2 linked regions of the Nothobranchius furzeri genome follow. The protein of the gene in region 2 interacts with the protein of the main gene of each other region in a biochemical or structural test. Links are inferred from orthologs where the notes say so. Each region holds a gene or a part of one and is shown on either strand. Other genes may lie near its edges.

The links.
Region 1: of the proteins of sik2b (region 2) and CREB-regulated transcription coactivator 2, one has a biochemical effect on the other in vitro, tested with the Homo sapiens proteins (2 studies listed by BioGRID). The link is inferred for Nothobranchius furzeri from reciprocal best matches to the Homo sapiens genes SIK2 and CRTC2.

The regions. Positions count from the first base shown.
Region 1 is NC_091745.1:59,165,609-59,169,259, forward strand, and holds part of CREB-regulated transcription coactivator 2, read right to left. Parts: intron 2,122-3,651; coding exon 1,673-2,121; intron 1-1,672. UniProt on the Homo sapiens protein: Transcriptional coactivator for CREB1 which activates transcription through both consensus and variant cAMP response element (CRE) sites.
Region 2 is NC_091753.1:40,077,242-40,080,892, reverse strand, and holds part of sik2b (serine/threonine-protein kinase SIK2), read right to left. Parts: intron 2,603-3,651; coding exon 2,478-2,602; intron 2,350-2,477; coding exon 2,226-2,349; intron 410-2,225; coding exon 183-409; intron 1-182. UniProt on the Homo sapiens protein: Serine/threonine-protein kinase that plays a role in many biological processes such as fatty acid oxidation, autophagy, immune response or glucose metabolism.

The DNA of each region.
Region 1 (3,651 bases), on a different chromosome or scaffold from region 2:
CGGTATAAAAGTAATTAATTACCATAATGCATTGCTTTTTGCTGTAATGGAGTAATGTAAGGCATTACAGGGAAAGAAAATGGTAATATTTACTCGGTACAATTGTCAGTAACGCAGTAATTACAATGCATTTTAAAACCCAGAATCAAGATGTGGGTTTCCTAAAAATTCAATTTGCAGGAAGCCTGAAAAAAGATCCTGTATCCACATATATGACATCATTTATGGACTCAGCTTTGTGGGCATTCTATGAGCAGAGAGGATGCAGCGGTAATGGCTCAAATACTCCAGCTTCGTCCTGTGCGCGGCCGCTGTTATATTCACAAAATCGCTCCACCACAACAAAGTAATTCGTTTGCGATCGTTTATATCAGCCCATATTCTCTGGTACTTCATGTACTTTTCAGCTGAGTTCATAATCTGTGCCCCGGTGATTTCAACTCATTGCTGCTGGAGCGCAGCGCATATTGAGCTTTTTTTTTTTTTTTAGTTTGGTAGATCCCTTTGGCTGATCAGGTAGAAAGTAGGAAATCTAAGAAACAGTTTTTCTGGAAGACGGTGAAAACATGCAGCATGCAGGAAGGTTAGAGAGAAAGGGCCGGAAATTATTCAAATGAAATAAAGAAAACAAAACAAAGTGCTTGAAAAGAAAAAAGTAGGCAGATTTATCCCCAATACACATTTTTACCAGTGAAAAGCAATAATACACATAAGCATTTAATATTTATACATGTGATAGAATCAGATCACCCCAGAAGTCAGTCCCACATCCAGGGCCGTATCAAGGCATTTGGGGACCAAGGTAAATATAGGCTTGGAGCCCCCACCACCTCACTCCCTGCTCAGATAACATAAGATGGCAGCGTGCTGAGAGTACAGATTGTTGTTGCTTTTATTTAATAAACAATCATTTTAAAGCACTGTTATTATATCTGACAGTTTTTAACAGCAATCCTAGCTCAGACACCACATCACTTTCCACATGTATGTCATGATGAGCTCACTGAGCGTCAGATTACCAGATTCATATTGAAGCTGTTTTGGTGAAAGTAACTTAAAGTAATGCAAAAGTAGTGTAATGCCGTACATTTTAAAATCAGTAATACTGTAATGTAATGAATTACTTTAAAATGAGGGTAACAAGTAATAAATAATGCATTACAGTTTAGAAGTAACTTGCCCATCACTGGTAATCCGACGCTAATGTCTTTACTGATAAGCTCATTTATGTGATCCTGACTCAGAGAACGAAGAGGAAATAGAACAACTACTGCTTCCTGATCGTTGGCAACATCTGAATGTAAACTTTCACTTTCTCCTAAAATAGCAAAACATTCATGGTGATGAACATAATGCTTGAAGTTGCAATAAACAGTTAGAAATTAATCTGCTGTCCTGTAGTGCCTCCTGTACCAGGTAGAAGCCCAGGTGGGCGGGGCCATGGAAGCTAATAGTCCATGTGACGTAGAAGAGACGGGCTTTTTCTGACCCCATTCTTTTCCCGTCTTTTTCCTTCCTGTGGCTAAAGCAGGTGATAGGGTTGAAGAAAATACACGTGCAACTCAAAGTGACCGGTGGCATTACATGGTTTCTATGGAAACCAGAACATTAAATTCAATAAAAATTCCAGCTCTGAGCTGAGATTTAAACCAAACTGCAGGTGTGTTCTTACCTGAGATATGGAGGACAGAGTGGGGGAGATGGTGGGGGAGAACTGTTTGGAGTGATGCCTCCGTGACTCTCCTCCCACAGGCAGGATGAGGGGTAACAGCTGGGCTCGTCTCCGTGGCGACGTGCTGAGTGATGGCTGGCCCTGACCAGTGAGCATTGGTGTGTAGGAGCCTGAACCTACCCCGCCCACTCCGCTATAGCTATTGCCAGACTGGAGGGAGGAGTTACTGAGGGACGAGTGCAGTGATTGGCTGCTGAGGGAGGACGGCAGGGAGGGGGAGGAGCTGAGTGATGACTGCAGTGATGGGTTGCTTAGCGACGACTGCAGGGAGGCGGAGCTTAGAGAGTTGGAAAAAGAATGACTGCTGAGTGATGATTGGATGTTGGGGTTGCTTAGTGACGACTGCAGGTTGGGGTTGCTGAGGGTGCTCTGTAGAGACGCCAGGAGTCCTTAGGAGGAAGACAAGAGGAGAGACTGAGTCCAGACACATCATCATAAAACCACAGAAAACCCTCACACCTTAAAAACAATCAACTTTTGATTTATTTGTCGCACTTCCTGCTCAGAGGGGCGCAGCTTTCTAGCGTGACCCTCCATTCTCCGTGACGTGTCTCACAAACATTCCCAGTGGGGATGTAGTCAACAAATTCAGAGCCTGAACTAAAAAATGCTGCGTTCCAAATGATTACTTTTTAAAATTTCTTTTGATGGCATGATTTTTTGTTTCTCATTTAAACTCTTACTACAGCTCAGGGCTCTTTGGATCACTGAAAACAACCTTAGACACCTGTGATCATTAGTTTTTCAGGTGAGTCCAATTAAAGGAAATTGTTGAAAGGTTGTTCCACATCCTTAAACAGACGTACATGTTCAAACAACGTGTGAAAGACAAAGGATCTCCGTTGAGATAAAAACTAGAGATGCACCGAAAATTATCGACCGAAAATGACCCAAAAGAGCATTTTCAATTTTTGGCCAAAACACCTACATCGTCGAAACAACAAAGCCAAAAGAGGCTGTCAGGCGAACCCTGTTTTAGTTTCTTTCTGCTTCATAAAAATTGTCAATTTGTGCCGATTCCTAAAGTAAAGTTTCCCCCCCATTTAGTAATGCTGTTTTATTACGATCGCTGGCATGTTCATATCAATTACGTAACACACTTTTTACTTTCAGTTTCACATCTACCACATCTGCCTGGCCATTTTCCCTTCTTTTACATTCCCACTACATTTGTTAGCAATGTTTTTAGCATCCTTTCTACATCACCATGTCCTGAACATGGTGAAATAAGCTTTGGATCATGTGTGATCCACATGAAGCCCACAGACTGTTGATGCGCGTAGCAGCAATGCCACCTTCTTCCTCAGTGGATGAGTGAATATCATCATCAGAGGATGAATATTACTCTTCAAAATCAGAATCAGAGTCAGCCATTACTAGGCAAAGAGCAGACTTGTCAGCATTGCAAGTTTCTCCTCTCTAATAAATAATAATATTCGTCCAGACGAGAGGCAGTTTTCAAACTCTATAAACTCTGAAAATCTCAATAGAAACACCCAAAAGTGTTGCTCAGATTGAATTTACACATCTCCACTATATTCTGGTGTAAAGTAATAACTTCATGAAGGATAATATTTGCAGCTGTGGCTCGTTAAACGCAATATCGCCACTCTGGTGCATAAAGGGTTATTTTTACAGTCTTAGCAGGCCTTTCAGTTATAAGCCTGCACATTTATAATTTATTATTATTTATTAATAATAATGTTCTAATAACACTGCGTCTGCAGTGATACGGGTGTTGTACCGTGAAGTAAGAGCTGAGCCTGAAGGCAAAGCTCTAGATTTACCGGTCATCTCCGTTCCAACGCTCACCTAGGGTCATGAGCTTTGGGTAGAGACCGAAAGAACGAGATTGCAGATACAAGTGGCTGAAATGAGCGTTCTCCACAGGGTGGCTGGGTTCTCCCTTAGAGGTAGGG
Region 2 (3,651 bases):
TTTTTATTGGATTGTTCTCATTAAATAATTACAGAAGAATTTATATTTATTGGATCTAAGTGTTGGTGTGAGATCTGAAACTACAATTTGTGGATTATGTTGTAGTTTACAGTGTTTACAGCTTGTTTTTCTCATCTTTAATGTGGGTGGACCCGTCTCATGGCTCCAGCTCGGTCCTTTACCTCGATAGTCTTGTGCTGGTCGATGCCGAGGCTGTGCATGAGGCGAAGCACCTGTTCGCTGTACTCTCCCACACCTGTCTCGCCCTCAGTGGACAGAGACTGTTGGTAAAGGACTGGTCTCTGCACGGGGACGTCCAGCAGCATCCACTTGTGCTCCTTGATCTGGGCCAGAGACAGACGCTTGGACGGGTCCAGAACCAACATCCTGCGGATCAGATGCTCACAGTCTGCAAAGAGAAGGGTGAGCTTCTGTGATTTCAGAAACATCTTCTAATTAGCATCGATGGAGCAGAAATTACACTTCAAGGACGTAAAAGCTGACATTCCTTTCTTATTTGCTCCTGCCGTCACTTGTGAACAGCATGAACACTCTTTTCTACTTTCCCTCCCTTGCTAATGAGAGCTGCTCACCTCTAGTTAGAGGCTTGATGAGTTTGACGTCAGACACAGCTGGGATCTTAACGGGATTACAGTTCCTGCGGCTGCAGCGCTGCGACATGGCTGCACCCTGCATTCTTGCCCACTCACTCCACTGCTGCCGTCTTAAAGCAAAACAAGTGGGGTCTGGAGAACACGGGCTGTGTAACATCCCCCAATCGTCTTCATATCACCTTGTATTAGTCTCAAAGACCAAAACTGGGGTTCCAAGTTAAATAACCATGAAACGTCTTGATTTTCCACTAACTGAGTAAAAACCGAGCAGCTGACATTAACACCCTGCTGCACATTCTTCAACTCACAGCGCTGATCTACTAACAGCATTTTACTTCTAAGTAATGCTTGTTTTCCTATTTTTGTTGTACTTTCACTTCACACCGTGGCCTACAAGCAGCGAGAGCTGCTGAGGCAAAAGCAGCTCCTAACAAGAGTTTAACACCCGTACACCTGGCTTGACCCAGAACGTCGTCACACTTCGGTCTGGTCACAGCTGAGGCTGAACTCTCTTAACCAGGAAGGAGCGGACTCCGTGAAGCCGCGTGGCTGGCTCACTGATTGACAGGCTGTTCTTAGAAAGAACTTTACACCGCCGTGAGTTAAACACAAAACCATCCCACTGAACACGAGTATCGCTCCAGTGGTGTAGAGTTGCAGTGTGTCCTCCAGGAAGGGGGCAGCAGCAGCAGCAGCAGGAGTGAGTTAAAAGTGCAAATTTTTCATTGCACAATGTGGATTTAAAAGAATTCACACAAATTGCAGCTTTAAAACAAAACTGCGGACAGGAAAAAGAAGTAATCAAGCTCGAAACGGATGTAGACTATGACATTTGGGGTTAATAAATCCGGAGTAAACAGTGATCGGAAGCTCCAGTGAGAGTCTACGGTGCAAGGCTGTGTTAGCGGCGAGATCAACGTGAAGAAATGAGGTGGAACGTTTCTGGATGAAGAAATCAGCACACTCTGTTCTCCAAGTTCAGGGAACGAGGGTTGGACCTGGAGTCTGATCCAAGTGCTGATACTACACTTTTACATTCGCTGCCAAATAAATAAACTAAAAAACGTCCTCGCCACACCCTGAGTGGAGACATCAGATTCCTAGAGAGACACGGACTGACAGGAGGACGTCTCACACAATGGGAGTATGACTCAAACAGAATCACCAAGCCTTCTGAGAGGGACGGACGGACGAGCAGCTGGAGGGCTTCGCTGGCTCTTTCCCAGGTTACATAAACAGCTCCAGCTCTGGACTTAATCTCCAGCCAGCAAGCAGGAATGAATGCAATCAGCAGGGATGCTGCGAGACACCCAGTTAACCTGACTGACTCTCCAGCCTGCGTGCACACACAACCCCTCCAACAAAAATTGCAGCCGACACCGACGGGAGTGCTCCGTACTGCATTCCCTTTAAATTAGCACAAAGCTCTACGGGTAACAACTGTGGTGCTGCACGAGAGCCGACCAGCAAAGGCACTTGAAACATGATGTTTTTATATGCAGAGTGAGGGTGCATTTATAAGACTGTAAAGTGGCGGGGTGAGGTTTTGGACTTGATTTCATTATCTTCATGTGTGTTTTAAATCCCAGATCAAAGACCGTGTCTCCTCACCTTCAGTCATGAAGTAGGGGATGCGAAACCTTCCTTCCAGGACTCTCTGTCGGAGCACAGGCAGCGTGGGCCCATCAAAGGGCAACGCACCACACACCAGCACATACAGCACCACCCCCATACTCTAGAAACCACACACACACACGCAGGGAGCAAAGTCAGGGCAGAAACACTCCATAAATCAACCACAGACTGGTGAAAGTTCAACTTCCTGTAGGAGTTTTTTGATCTTTAAGCAATCAGACATCTTACCCAGATGTCCAGCTGCGGGCCCTCGTACTGTTGTCCTTCAAAGACTTCAGGAGCTGCGTAAGGCGGGCTGCCGCACCATGTGGCCAGAGGCTCTCCAGGCTGGAAGAAGTTCCCAAATCCAAAATCTACACAGGGTCAAAGAGCAGAGGCAAGCAGATTGAAGACACAAAAGTCAGATTATATAATAAAAGCTCAGAAAGAGACACAGCTCTACAGTAGTTGCTGCAAAAACAGAAACAAATAAACAGCTAAAAGTGTCAAACGTTTCAAAGATGATGTGCAGAATGAATGAAGTGCACTGATCAGGAACGTCTGCATGGAGGGTTTGTGTATCGCAGCTTAAGATCCACATTTTTGCACATTGAAGAAATGGATCTTTGTATGAGGCAACCTCCCCTGGAGACTGACATGAGGTCATCAGTGCTGGGCTCCGATTGGCCGTCTGCAGAACGACAGACTTTACATTTTCGTCTTCAGAGAAGAGACGGTGAGAAGAAGCTCAAAAACACACGCAGACGTCAATTTTTATTTAAATCCAATATGTGAGTTAAACAATGGGAAATCACTGAGAGCATTCACCAAACCCAGTTATTATCACACCACCTTCACTCCTTTTCTCATCTTTTTTGTTAGAATTTATCTGATTTAAGGATGATTATCTTTCCATTTCGTCCAGTTCAGAAATGAAAATAAATGTTATCCCTTCAGCTTTTAAAGCTGCTACAGCAAATCCACAGAACAAGCTAGGTTTTGAACACGGTCACAGAACACACACCCCACCCCTAGATGCTTCTGCCAGAATCAGAAACCCACGTTGCCAGAGAAAACAAGATGGTGCTAAACACCAGTCACTGTTTACTAGGTCCAAGAGTCTTTTGTTTTCCGTAAATTCAAACGGTGTTTTGCTTTTTGGGACTCTGGTAGTATGTCCTGAAGTTGAAGTGGTAGCAGCCGGCTGTTTCTTCTTCTCTGATATTATTGAGTGGAGAACCTGACACCAGTGGTGTTCTGTTGTAAATACGCAAGTTTTCGTCCCCTCCACAATGTATTTACAGCTATACTATATTAGAACATTAAGAGGCAAGAAAAATAATGTTTTAAGCTAATATTTTCCAAATTTGCTGTAGCAGCTTTAATGCTGGTTATTTGTATTTACCTGCAGTTGTGTTAAAAA